Linked DNA regions of Notamacropus eugenii. The main gene of each other region encodes a partner of the protein of the gene in region 2 in a complex. Links are inferred from orthologs where the notes say so. Each region holds a gene or a part of one and is shown on either strand. Other genes may lie near its edges.

Region 1 (7,038 bases), on a different chromosome or scaffold from region 2:
GATCCAATGGTTCAGAAAAACAACTGGAGGGCAGAGGTGAACACTGAAGGAGAGAGAAGATTGAGTCAGGTGCAAGTGAAAAGGGTCACCATATGTTAGTTTTGGCCAATCCAGAAGTCATGACCCTGTGCCTGAGAGGGGCTGATGGAACAAGTCACCCCAACAGGCCTGTGGCCAGCAAGACCAGCAGGGTCCCAAGGATGGCTGTGTTGGGGGGCGCCAGGGGCCAGGTTGCTTATTCCTCTGGGAGCTGGCCTGGCTGCCACAGAAGAGAGGACTTTGCTGAGACAGCACAGAGTCAGAGGTGGAAAAGACCTCAAAAGTCCTGGTCCCACCAGGTCATCCCTGCTGGATCCCTAGCTGCCTCCTAGATTTCACTGTAGGACTATGTCTAGCCCACTGAGGACACTCTGGGCTTCCTTGCTCTTCTAAAGGGCCTGTCATCATGAACTGCGGGGTGTGAGGGGTGGGCCACTCCCCAGGCTCCTGGTTCTACATGCCTTCACCTGAAGCATCAGTTGCACTGTAATTCTGTCTGGAACAGACAGTGTGTGGAAGGAGTTTCTGAGGTGCCCACACCTGGTAGCTGCTCAAGGCTCTTGAGGGCCCAGCCCCACCTGAGGCAGTGCTAGGTCTACTCCTGGGCCCTCAGCCCTGAGCAGTACCCAGAATTCAAGCTGCCAAAGGGACTAACGAGTGGGGAGCGCTTCTTTCTGCCTCCTCTGCTCACAGACCCCAACACTCTTCACGGCTGGAGCCCCATTCACACGTATGAGGGGATAAGTTCCACAGCGCACCACTGCTCTGCAGACGAATCCAAGATGTCAGGTCAGCACTCCCTCCAAGGCCCCACCTGCAGTCGCAGCTGGCATTATCACCAGGCCAGGCCCAGTGACATCTGTCCTTTCATTTCAGCGCCACACAATTACCCTAGGGGACTACAAGGCTTCTCTTAACCTCTCTGTACCTGTGGGCACAATCATTCCACCCTATTTTTTCTTCTCTTAAAAGGACTCAGCAACTCTTTCTAAACTCACAGTTTTAAAAATAATATGTTTAACTAAAAAAGTGTCCTCCAATTGACAGTCAAAATGCATTTCTACCTATCTCCAACGACTACCTCCACTGACCTTCTTTGCTCTCACCTAAGTCAACCTCCTTGTATGATCAGTTTTGTTCAGACAAAGCACAAACATGATCTGGGCGCTAGTCGCAGGGCAGCCAAAAGCAAAGGGCAGCTTTTGTCCCACCTCCAGAGAAGGGTGGCTCCCCAGCCGAGGGCCCCTTCCCAGAAGTTTCTGCAGCAGAAATGCTCAAGCAGCTCACTTGAACCATACACACCGAGAAAGCACAAGGGGATAGTCACGCATGGCTCACAAAAGAATCTCCCCAAATGTCAAGGTGCTGTCCCTGCTCTGAGGAGCCACAGGGAAGAAGACTGGGACCCTTGAGAATCGCTACCTGGCCCCAGACAGGGGGATGGCTGGCCCACTCAGCAGCGCCCTAGGACTGAGAACCCCAGGCTCCTGGCATTCCCCACACTTAGCCACGGTCCTTTGGTGTGCTAGTCCCCCCTCCCCAGACGCGGGTTCAATTTCTGCCGGGGTCCCCTGGACGCCAACAGAGCCCACCCCAAGTTTGATTCCTTCCCACCAGGTAGCAGTCGCGTAAAAGATGAGATTGCACCTGATAACCACTCTCCGAAGGTGTCCTGCCCACTGGCACGCCTCTCTTCGTGGCGCTCAGGAGAGATGGACCCCGCGGATGCCCTTTACTGACCAGGGGAATTCTAAACTTGCGGGTGGCACCGTGGCGTGGGGGAGGCGAGGGGCGAGGGGTCCGGCGGGCAGTCTGCCCTGTTTCGGGTCGGGTAGCGGCGTGCTGCGGTCCGCGATCCTGCCCCGCAACCCTGCCCACGATCCCGCCCGCGATCCTGCCCCGCAACCCTGCCCACAATCCCGCCCGCGATCCCGCCCGCCCGCGATCCTGCCCCACGATCCCGCCCGCGATCCTGCCCCGCAACCCTGCCCAGGATCCCGCCCGCAATCCCGCCTGCCCGAGATCCTGCCCCACGATCCTGCCCCGCAACCCTGCCCACGATCCTGCCCCACGATCTCGCCAGCGATCCCACCCCGCCCAGCCCTTACCTGCTGAGCGAAGTCCCTCAGGTGAGCCATGTCTCCCGGCCAACCGCCGCCAGCCCGGTCCAATCCGCGGCTCGTCACCTGTGATCCGCGCAGACCAAGACACGGGGTTTCGGGGTCCGAGGGGCGCACAGGGCGGCCGGCCCGGCCCGGCCCGGCCCAGATGGGGGAGGTCCGGCACCTCCCCCTCCCCCGGACTCCAAGCCTGGGCCCCCCCACCTCTCAGGGCTGCCCCTCCCCCAGTCCTGCTGCACCCCAGAATCGGAACCAGCAGCACAGACAGCTGGGCCCCCCCAACCTACTGACGGAAAGGTGACCTTGGGCTGGTCCCGCCCCCTCCCCTCCAGACCAGGCTAGACTCCCTGGGGCGCGTAGCCCCCTCCTTTCCCTCCCTCCCGGCCCCTCCCCCACACCTGGTCTCCCCTCCCCCCCTCCCTGCACCAACGCCCGCCTCCCTCTCTCCGGCCCTTCCCCCACCCCCACCCGGCACCGCTCTCTCCCCCAACCCCCCTCCTACCCCGCCCCCAGCCCTTTCCCATCCCCCCTCTGGCTCCTCCCTCCCCGTACCTGGACTGAGGCGCCCCCGGGGGGCCCCAGGCCTCAGCGCGCCCCGCCTCCGGGGGTCTCCATGACCGCCCTGGGCCTCGCCCGCAGCGCCTGACAGTGACGGGAGCAGCTGCGGCCCGACCCCAGACGCGGCTCCGGCTCGGGCTCGGCTCGGGTTCGGCTCGGGCTCGGCTCGGACTCGGGCTCCGGCTCCGGTCCGGCTCCCGCGGCGTCTGGAGATAGAGAAAGCCAGGGCGGCGGAGGAGCGAGGAGGGGGTGGGGGCAGAGATGGGAGAGCCACTGCGCAGTCGCGGGCGTCCCGTTGCCTTCTGGGAGTTGTAGTCCCGCTTCCCGAAGCCCTGCTCCTGATGCTGGGGGAGGGGGCACTCCGGCTCCCTGACGTCCCTTGGGAAATGGGCGGGGCCTCCGGGCAGGGCCTCAGGCGGCAGCGGCGATAAAGGCTGGTTGGGCTTCGGCATTTCCTCGAGGAGCCTCTGGGAGGGGGGCGAGGACTCCAAATCCCAGGAGGCTTAGCGCGGAGGAAGACTGGGGGCGGGGGATGGGAGGAACCGTGGAGCGTGACCCCTGTCAGCCCGCAGAGCTTCTGCCGGGCCCCCAAACCTGGTCCGGTGAGGGGCAGTGAGAGGGAAGGCCTCGGCCCCCGACAGTGCCCTCCGCCCTCCCCCTTCTCCTTTTCTCCATCCCCAGGTCGGTCTTGGGGGGCTTCTGGGCGGCCCCCCAGAGTGGCCGCTGTTTGGGGGCGGGGCTGCTTGCAGGTGGGTCCTGGCACGCCCGTCTCCCCAGGTGCGGCGCCCCCTGGCCAGGGGCGGAGGAGAGCCGGGAGATCCCGGAGCTAGAGCTGGGGGGCCTGGAGCCTGGGGTCCGACCTCGCCCCCTTTCACAGAGGAGGCCCCACGTGACGAGCGCGGTCACCCGTGACCCTCCCCTGGCCCGCGCCCCCCGGCGCGGGGGCCTCCCGGCAGGTGACCCCCAGGGGAGCGGGACCCTCTGCAGTGCTGGGGGCGGAGGGCAGGGGGGAGTCAAGCCTCGAGCCATCGGCTCTCCAGGCCGGGGAGCGGGGACCTCCTGGGGGGACTGAGGGGGACAGCCCCCTGCGGACGCCTCGAGGGGCGGGCCCAGGGCCGGGCTCCGAGCGGGGAGCATGCCCGGGGGTGCAGGAGCGCCGGCCTGAGGAGGAGCAGCCCGGCAGGTAGGAGGAGCAGCCCGGCAGGTAGGAGGAGCAGCCCGGCAGGTAGGAGGAGCAGCCCGGCAGGTAGGAGGAGCAGCCCGGCAGGTAGGAGGAGCATGCCCGGGGGTCCAGGTGCGCCGGCCTGAGGAGGAGCAGCCCGGCAGGTAGGAGGAGCGCCGGGCGGGAGGGTCAGAGAGTCCCAGAAACCTCGCTTGGCAGGAGGAGACTCCAGGAAGAAGGGGGGACATCGGGAGGGAGCAGGCTGGGGGTGGCCTTGTGAAGAGCTGTTTCGGCCTGGAAGCCCTGGGAAGGAGGCGGGAGGAGAGGACGGATCCTGCGGGAGTGAGGCTGTGAAGGGGAGCAGGGATGGGGGGACAGGGAGAGACCCGGGCTTGCGTGCAGGCGTCAGGGCAGGAGCCCACCGGGAGGGAGGGACGGAAAGTCAGAGCAATTCCGATTTATCCACGCCCTGCGCTCCGAGGTTTGCACCGCCTCCTGACAGTCCTCTGAGGGACGGGCTGTGATCATCCTGAGTTTACAGTTGAGGGAAACTGAGGCAGGCAGGAGCTGAGTGACTTGCCCAGCGTCACACAATTTGAAAATGCTTGGAGCCGGATTTGAACTCAGAACTTTATTGAATAAGATGGGAAAGTGAAGCAATCATGGTGGGGTGCGGGCGGGGGTAGGTCTATCTCCCTGGTTCAGCAAGGAGGGGAAGAATGATTGGATGGAGGGTGAAGACCAAGTCAAAGGGAGGATACAAAGCAAGGCGGGAGGGCAGGCAGAAGAATTTCAGAGTTCTTGTTCAGGGAGATGGACCATGGAAGGATGATGGGGAGATCAAGGGTACAAGGGGAAGGGCAGAGTTCACAAGACAGATGCTAAACTCCTTGAGAAAGGGCAGATAGTCTGGGACCGCTGGGTGGCTATCCCCAGCACTTTCAGAGGATGGTCCAGCTGGGTGGTGGAGAGTTTGAGGTGACATGGTGGAAGAAAACAGAGTGATGTGGATACGGGGTGACAGGCACGGCGGCTCCACACTTGGCTCCTGTTGTGTTTTTAAATTTTATTTAATTTTTCAATTAACAAGCATTTGTTTTCCCTGTGCAGTAGTATATGCAAGAGTCTCAGACTCATAAATCCTAGTTTTTAAATTTATTTTCAATGAACAAAAAATGTATTTTCTCCTCCACCCACTGAAAAAGAAAGAAAAACTCCATCCTTTGAACAAATATGCAGAGTCAAGCACAACAAATCCCTGTAGTGGACATGTCCAAAAAAGCCATATTCCAACATGCATCCTGAGGCCACTGCCTCGGTAGGTGTCTGGTGTGATGCATTTGGGGGCCTCTAGAATTGTGGTTGGTTCATGTGTTGAGCACAGTTCTCCAGGCTTTCAAAATTATGTATCTTTACCATGCTGTCATGTTTCTACTCCCTCTCCTCTGCCTCTGTCCATACAAGTCTTCCCAGGTTTCTCTGAAAGGGTACCTTCTGTCACTCATTCCCTACCGCACAATAGTTAGTATTCCATCACCTTCACATACCCTAATGACTTAGCCTTTCCCCCCAAATGGATGGACACCCCCACCCTAGTTTCCAGTTCTTTGCTACCATGAAACAGGCCTCTCCTAACACCTTTGTACACATAGGTCCTTTCCTTCTGTCTTTGATGTTTTTACGTGAGCAGGAAGCAGACTTAGCAGCAATAAGGCTGGAGTTAAGGGTGTTCATGATTTTTCTGGCATAATTCCGAATTACTTTCCAGAATGGTTGGAACAACTCACAGTTGCAGCAGGCTTCTACTGATATACAGGAAAACAGTGCCTCCGTGGGCCTGGATGCCCCAGCATTTGTCATGTTCCCTTTTTGCCACTTTGCCCACCTGATGGGTAAAAAGCAGAACCTCAGAGGGGCCTTAATTTGCATTCTACAATTGTTGGTGATTTGGAACATTTTTTCACATGGCTGTAAACATAGTTGGGATTTCTACCTTTGACAGCTGCCTCTCCAAATTCTTTGGCCATTTATTCGTTGGAGAATGGCTCTTATTCTTATAAATATGGATAAATTCCTTATATATCTTGGAAATGAAGCCTTTATCAGATAAATTTACTGCAAATGTTTTTCCCAGTTAACTGTTTCCTTTCCAATTGTAGCTATACTGGTTTTGTTTCTATAAAAAAAAAACTTTTAAAGTTTAATAAAAATTGACCATTTTAATTTCTGTGATTTTCTTTCTCCTAGCTCAGTCATTAACCTTTCCCCTGTTCATAGATCTGAAAGGAAATTTCTTCCTTATTCCTCTAATTTGTTTACAATATGGCCTTGCCTGTCTAAGTCAGGGATTCATTTGGTTCAAACACTGCTGCTTATTTGAGGGCTCTCTCTGATTTTCCAGCTGCTAGTCTCTTCTACCCTGGAAATTCTTGTCTGTATTTATTAGGATGTAAACTCCCTGAGAACAGGAAGCATTTGGCTTTTGTAGCCCCAGAACCCAGCAAGTCTGGCATGAAGGATCCATTTAATTAAAGATTGGGGCTGGAAGGGACCTGAGATACTATGGGGTCCAGCCCCTCATTTTACTGATGAGGAAACAGGTTCTCGAGGTGAGCTAAGGTGAGGTGCATTGCTCATCGGTGTCAGAGATAGTTTGTGAACTCAGGGCCTCCTTACTCCCAGGCCAGTGCCCTGTCACATGAGATCATGTTTATCAAGCTGTTAGCATATTGGAGGTGCTTAGTAAATGTTTGTTCTCCCTCCTCACCCCCATCCTCATTGAATGATTGCATTATTCAGAGTTTTCATGTTTTTTAATATGGTTTCACTGCATGCTCATGCACACACATGCACACCCACCCACCCCCTTTCTTTACCACGTAGTACCTGGACTGTAAGCTTCTTCAGGTCAAAGACATTTTGTGTCTCCAGAGCCTGGCACACAGAGAAATTATGAGATGCTTATGGTGCTGAATTGGAGGCTGTTGGCCCAGCCACACTTTTCCAGTTTCCACTTGCTAATAGTTCAGCAGATGAGAAAGAGCAACAAGTAAGGCCAGAGAACATGTAAGGCCTTGCCCATTTCTATTAGCCCTCTGTAGCTGTGTTCACAATCCCTGCCTCGTACCCATTAATGTAGCGGTGCTTGTGGCCACAGTA
Region 2 (7,484 bases):
TGACCTTGGGCAAGTTCTAATTCTGTTCCCTTAACTTTAAAATGAGGAGGGTATTATATATTACACTACTATTATACTACTAGGTAGTATAATTGTCCACCTTTAACAAATGTAGAGGGCCAACTAGGTAGCCCAGTGGATAGACTGCCACACCTGGAGTCAGGGAAGGTTCATCATCCTGAGTTCAAAACTGGCTTCAGACACTTAACCAGCTGTGTGACCCTGGGTAAGTCACTTAACTTTATTTGTCTCAGTTTCCTGATCTGCAAAATGAACTAGAGAAGGAAATGGCAAACCACTCCTGCATCTCGACTAAAAAGTAGGATCACAAAGAGTCAGGCATGACTGCAACAACTGAACAACAAGCAAATGGAGAAACTGAGGCTGTGAGATCCTTTGTGGAATATAGAACTGGAATGACCATAGAGGTCATTTAGTGTAATCTTATTGTACAAATGAAGTGATAGATGTTTCCCAGTTGAGGCTGTGACTTGTCCACAGTTAGCAGTGGTGGGATCAGAACCCAAATCCCCTCAATCCAAACCTAAGGCTCTTCTACAGCAGGGATGCAAAGTGACTTGTCTAACTACACACAGTTAGTGGAAGAGCTGGGAGTGGAACTCAGATTTTCCTACTCTCAAGTCCAGTGCTCTTTCCACCAAGAAGACTAGGTTTCCTTTCTGTTTAACAGATAGGACACTTCGGGTGTGCAGGAAAAAGGGTTACTAGAATTGATGACCTCATTCTACTATCTGCCCCACTACTGATCAGTTCTGCAGGTAGAAAAGAACACAGAGCTCTGGGAGTCGTCGATCCTGACTAGCGTTCTCACCCCAGGAGAACAGAAGAAATGGGGGGGAAGGAAGGCAGAATAATTAGTTCTTTAATAAGAGGCACTCGTGGGTTGTGCTGTGGCAGGTTTTTCACATTGAGTGGGGTTGGGCGTGGGCTGTGTCCTGTCCCTCAACACCCTCCCTTTTTTTCCCTCACAATGAATTGTAAAGCAAAGTTTGGCTCCTGGAATCTGACTTATTTAACAGAAAGAAAAAATAGACAAAAATCAAAGCTTTGGCCTTGAGCCTGGTGCTTCCTTAGAAATCATGGCCTAGTCTATGAAAGAAAGGTGTGGAGAGAAAAGAGAGGGAGGAAAAAGAGGAAAAGAGAAGAAGGGGGAGGAGAAGGGAACACAGCTGTTTCCCAGGGATGGTAGCTCTTGTCTGTTCTTTGATACCACTCTCCCCCTTTATCTGTATTCTTCCACTGTTCTGCAGGAAAAAGGAAGAAGGAAGGAAGGAAGAGAAAGGGAGGGAAAGAGTCATTGCTGATCCAAGGGCATGGCCCATAGAAAGACATTGGGTTGGATCCTAGGCTTTTACTTTTACATCCCATTCAGTTATCCACTCAAGGCACATTGATACATACATACATATACTCACAAACACATACATGCGTACACATCTTCTACATTCCTCCATCCCACTTTCCACCTCCTCCTCTGGGTACAGTAATGAATGAATATTGCCCTATGGATCAACTCTCCAACCAAAACCAAAACTTCTTTCTTTGGTCCTCTATTCCCCTATATGTGATATTTTCCCTATTAGAATGTAAACTTTAAACCAGGGACTATTTTTCCTTAGGCATTTGTATTTCAAGAGATTTTTAGCACAGTGCCAGTGCTAAATATTGATAAATTTTTTTCATTCTTTCATTCTTTGCCATATTACTTATGGAGAGGGAGTGGCAGAGAAGAGTTTTGGGGGTGGAGGAGGTGTTAGAGCTTAAAAGAAATAGACAAGAAACTAAGATATACAATTAACCAAAGCAAAATGGCATGACCGTCCCTCCTTCAAATATCACCACGAACTTCCTTTGATCTATGTGGTTTATGAATTTGAATCAGAGAATCTCTGCATTGGAAGGTACCTTAAATATCTCATGGCTCAATTCTCTTTCTACAAGAATTCCTTCACAACTTCTGCTTAAATTTGCCTAGTTCAGGGAAATTCACTACCTACCAAGGCAAGACTGAATAGCTCTTGGTACTACTGAATAGGTTCAATAGGTTGGTGACCTATTGAGAGTAGCCCTAAAGGAGCTATGGGAAGACAGGCTTTCTAATTCAGGGCTGATAGAGCTGTGAATTGGCTCAATTGTTCTAAAAGACTATTGGGATTATGAAAGAAAAATTATTAAATTACTCATATGCTGATCTAGAGATCCCACTAGTATGTTAATAAAGCAAAAAAAAAAACCCATCACTCAAATATTTAAAAATATTCATGGCTGCATTATTTATAATAATAATCTGAAAACAAAATACATTCCCTAGCCTCACTTGGGAACAACTATATAAACTGAAAAATATACAGTATTATTGTTTTAGAAAGAACAATGAATCTGGAGATTTCAAAGAAATATGGGAAAATGTGAACTGAGGCAAAATGAAGACAATGGAACTATATATAAACCTATATATGTGTGTGTATGTAGTTCCATTTTATGCATAAGTATGCGTGTGTATATGTATGCAAGTGCTCCAGAATTTGTAGACAACACGAAAAGTCAACAAAACTCTATTGAAAGATCCCACTATCTATCAGGATGTATCCTGTTAATAATCAGTAAGCTATAAAGGCCAAAAGTTAGGCTTAGTAATTAGTCAAATCACTCAGGAGGTTCTGTTTAATAATTTTCAGGAAATGCACTGTGGAGAAAGAAGGTTGTTTGAATGTTGGTGGATATATTCTTTTATATCAAAGCAAAATGTGTCTGTAATAGAGGTAATCAGGGGAACCCTGCCCTGATCCACTCTGGCAGGAGTATTTCCCATAGAACTGAGCCCTATGATTGGGTCTTTTCTGATAATAGGTGCCCTAGCCTCTTGCTGAAGGTCACTTTCAAACAGAGGTTCCTGGTTGAGCTTTTGGTCCCCATGATAGAATTTGAGGGGGAAAGGGCAAAGAGCACTGGTCACTGAACAGGAAGAGCTACTTAGCAGACTTCCAAGTAAGGGAAAATTTCTGCTATTTCTCTCTTCTTGTCTGTCAAGCATGTCAAAACTCTTTAAGCTTTCTCTATGACTCCCATCAACTTGAGTATGGAGTTTCTCTAAAAATATGGCAGTAAGTACATGCGCCTCTCTGGATGAGCCTCTGGTTACCTCTTCTGCTTTGTGTTTCTTTCTTAGAGCACAGGTGACTGACTAGCTATCCTGAGTTCAATGTTTCTAACCTCATCAAGAACCTCATCATGAGTTTCAGAGGTTGGGAGCTTCTGAATCCACATGCTAGTTGCTCTGCAAGTGATCTCAGCAACATCTTGGAGGAGAAAAATGATCACGGCCAGGAGAATGAACAAAAGCCATGCCTCAGCCTGCCAGAGGATATAGACCTTAAGTCAGTGAAGATCCAAGGTGAAAGTATCTGCTCAGCAGTCCTACAAAATGTTTCCTGTTTTAATAATGTAAGCATCTTCCTCCTGGGAGAATCTAAGAGGAGTGATGAATTATTGTATCTTGCTTTAAATATTTGTCAATATGCACTGAAGAGCCTTCTGGGTTTCAAGCATTTCTTTTGTGGTAGAAATAAATAGCTGTCCTATAGCAGATCTACTTAGTAATTGTAGAATTTGAAAATTGGAAAGGACCTCAGTTGCCATCTGGTGCAACCCATAAATGAAGGAATCTCTGCTATAATGTACCTGACAAGTATTGTAATCATTCAGCCTCTGCTGGAAGACTTCCAAAGAAGGGGAACCCACTTCCCCTGGAAACAAGCTATTCTACTTTTAGGTGGCTCTCACTGTTAGCAGGATTCTCCTGATATTTGCCTGTGCAATTTCATTGCTCCTGGTTGTGCACTTTGAGGCCAAAACTATACTAATCCTTCCTCCACATAGGTCCTTTACTTGAAGAAGACCCACCAGACTTCTTTTGTCCAGGCTAAACAGGCTCAGTTCTTTCTAGAGAACAAGTACATAGGTGAGAGGAGGGTAAGGAAAGGTGGTTTGGAAGCTAATTGGCTGTGTGACCTTGGGCTTCCCATCCCAGAACCCCAATTTACTGATCTGTAAAGAGGTTGTACTAGATGTTCCCTCAGGTCCTTCTTTGCAGGAAAGAATAGGAGAGGAAGAGACACCTGAAGGAGTCACTGAAAGATGCTTACTTGAAAAGATCATTTACAGCTGGGCTGGGGGAGGGAAGTGACAGTTTACAATTTCTCTCATATTTAGAGTTTAGAAAAACTGAGGCTGAAATCTGGGAATGGTTGGCCAAGGACGCAGAGGCCTAGAGGTCGGGTGGTACTTGGAGGAGCCGAAGTACCCTAGCCCGAGGCTAAACAACTCAAAAAGCTGAATGAGCCCCAACCTCCGCCCCGAACATCCAGACAACGAATCCCACCTTGGGGTGGAGCTGCTAGTTGGTTGCCTTGGCCAATAGAGATGAGGGGCGGGGTCTGGGGGGCGTCCCGGGGTGTGTGTGTCGGGAGGAAGGTTCCCCTGGGTTTACGGCTGCCCTGCCAGCCTCTGGCAGAGCGGGCTGAGCAGTCGCGGGGAGCTGCATGGAGGACCCCAACGGCGCCGGGCTCGGGGCTGGCAGCCCACCTGGGAACGGTAGCGGCAGCGGAGGAGGAGGCAACAAGGGAAAGCAGGCGTCGCCCAAGGGCCGGGAAATGTTCAAGAACCAGCGGAGGGAGTCCGAGGTGGGCATGTTTTGTGCCGGGGAAGGGAAGAGGCTGGGGTTGCTGTGGTGAGGGGCGAAGTTAGAGTGAGCCTGCACGGACCGCGGCACCGTAACTGGAGAGGCAGGCCCTCACTCCCGGGGATCCCTGACTCCTCCCCCGTAGATAGTGGAATCCAAAAGATGTGAAGCCGGATTAAGGCACCTTGGAAGTAGTCTAAGCCTCTCCTTTTACAGATCAGGAAACCAAGGCCCAGGAGATTAAGTCCACAGTCACACTGGAGTAGGAAGCAGAGCTAGGGCTCTGAATCCAAGTCCAGTATACTTGGTTAAGCTGGGTGTTGAACCCAGGCCACTTGACTGATGGAATCCCGGGCTTCCCTCTTCATTCTTGCCAGGGATGGGTCCTCAGTTTCCCTTATGTTCCTGATGACCTAGCCAATATTACTTCAGCCCCTGGACAGCTGATGTAGACTGGTTAATGCAGCTGAGAGGTTTACATTTGCTCTAGTACTGCTCCTTTCTAAATACTCATAGCTGGGACCCTTTGTGTGACCAGAGAGGAACCTGAGAAAGGGACAGACTGGGGTGCCTTGCCTGACCCTTCTCCATATTGGCTCTTCCCCTATTTCTTAGTTTTATTCTCAGTGCCACGTGGAATGGTAGAAAAAAAGAGGCAGGAGACCCTAGGTGTGCTGCTGCTTCCTTTTGTGACCTTGGACAAATCCTCCTGCTGTTTCCCCCAACTGTAAAATGAAGAGCATTGGGTTAGATCATCTGATCCCTCCCAGCTCTAAAATTCTGAGTCAAGAAGACTTTTATGTCTTGCACATAAAAGCATTCGGTTGACGTTGGTTGAGTGAATGAACCAACAATTGGCTAGACCTGAAGGTCTTTACCGGGGTTACTGCTCCATTCTGTCTTGCTCTTTAAGAGTTGCTGGCCGGAGTACCTGGCAGGAGTATTTGCTGACCAGGTTTTTTCACTTCTCCTCAAACAGAATTCTCAGTGAAATGGTGAATAGGCTGGGTGGAGGGAATAGGTTGGATCTGGGAAGTTGAATTCACTGTTTCTTCAGCCCTAGTCCAAAAGAAAGACCAAGCTTCCTTCCCCCAGGGCTTAATGGATCTTAGCTGGTCCTGAATGACTGTAGTCCTTTCCCACTAAAAATGGCCGCTTAAAAGAACCTATACAGTTAATCCTTTTTTCTAGGTAGACTTAAGGGCTCCTCACAAGCAGATGGTAAACCTTGGGCTAAAGAATGCCCCTCCTCTTTGTGGCTGTGGGAGTAGGGAAATAGGAACTAAGAGAGGGAAAAGCACTTGGCCATAATCATGCTGGTGGCATGCTCCTAGGAGAGTGTCAGGTTAGAGCCCAGGAGTCCGGGACTCTCCAGGATCCTGCTATCTATCAGTCTTATGCTTTTTGAAGAGGCAGTGACCCCAGACCTCTTCAGCAAGAGACTCTGGTAGCTTTGCTCTGAGCAGCCGGTGTGGTTTGTGCAGGATCCCTCCCTCCTGCCTGCACAGAGCAGCAGCTTCACCCGTCTGCCTGGGGCTGCATCTTCATTTTTTTCATTCCTGCTCTCCCTGTTCTGAAACTTATTGCTAACAGGATCATCTCAGTGTTCGTTTCCTGCCAACACACTGTCCTACAAAATTAGCTCTCCCCCACCTCTGCAAGTCAGAGAAGCTGCCTTTCCCTATCAGTGTGTCCCCCATCACCAGTGTGCCTAGGTGCCAGTTATGATGACTGTTCACCTTCAGATCTCTCCTTGCTTTTCCTGGTATGTTGGGAGTGAACAGCCCTTAGGAGACAGAGGTTTCTCTTTGGGTCCTAGAGCTCCTCTCTGGATGATTACTGTAGGCAGAAGGAGAAGGCTAACCTATGTCTAAGAAGACAAGGGAAAAAAGAAAAGTCTTTTAGACTGCTAAGTATATTGGGACAAGATTTGCCTAGTTCTTCCTTATTAAGCCCCCCCAGAAGCATCCTGAGACACTCACATCCATCCATCCATCAGCAGCTCTGCTTGGTTTGGATGCCACCGAATATGATGCCCTTACACCATGTGCCCTCCAGTCCCTCCCACCCCATTTATCTTTCTCCACTTGATTGTAAGCTCCCTGAGGTCAGAGACTGGCTTTTTCTTATTTGTATCCGTAGTGCCTGGCACATAGTAGATGCTTAATAAATGTTTATTGAATATAATTGAGAGAGTCTTGCATCACTGTACGCAAAAGAATGTCATTTGACCATCTCTCATATCCATCCCCACAATGATGTGATGAATGATGAAACATTGACTAGGCAGGGACATAATTTGACTATTTCTCTCCTCCTCCCCATCTAATGGTACAATGAGTTTATAGGAATATGGACTTTAGAATCTGAAGAAGACCTTTGATGATTTGGTCACACAGGGTGATTTGACATCTTCATCCCTAGAAGGAATGTCCACATTGATAAGAAAAGTCTGTTGGAATGTGGGACTTAATAACTTTATAAAAATATTTTTCTTTATGATCAACTTCACACAGGCTCCTTTTAATCAGTTTCCATTATACGTTCAATAGAGTCACTGATTGTTAGAGCCAGAAGGAATCATTCAGTTCAACCCCCTCATTTTACAAATCAGGTCATTGAGGCCTGGAAAGAAAAACTTGTCTAAGGTTTCACACTGAGTTTTTGGCAGAATCAAGACTAGAATCGAGGCTTTCTGACTTGCCAAGATGGCTTCTTTGAAAAGTTTTTTTTTTTTAAACATAGGTGCATTGTTTACCCAGGCTGCCTTTGCAGAAGCAAA

What was found. Proteins that work in one complex are often made in the same cells at the same time.
Region 1: STRIP2 (region 2) and STK25 share a complex: the UniProt entries of both Homo sapiens proteins name them as parts of the core of STRIPAK complex. The link is inferred for Notamacropus eugenii from reciprocal best matches to the Homo sapiens genes STRIP2 and STK25.

What each region holds. Positions count from the first base shown.
Region 1 is NC_092877.1:378,498,055-378,505,092, forward strand, and holds the start of STK25 (serine/threonine-protein kinase 25), read right to left. Parts: upstream 3,021-7,038; 5' UTR 2,712-3,020; intron 2,226-2,711; 5' UTR 2,178-2,225; coding exon 2,148-2,177; intron 1-2,147. UniProt on the Homo sapiens protein: Oxidant stress-activated serine/threonine kinase that may play a role in the response to environmental stress.
Region 2 is NC_092874.1:120,780,501-120,787,984, reverse strand, and holds the start of STRIP2 (striatin-interacting protein 2), read left to right. Parts: upstream 1-4,428; 5' UTR 4,429-4,443; coding exon 4,444-4,703; intron 4,704-7,484. UniProt on the Homo sapiens protein: Plays a role in the regulation of cell morphology and cytoskeletal organization. Required in the control of cell shape. Calmodulin-binding scaffolding protein which is the center of the striatin-interacting phosphatase and kinase (STRIPAK) complexes.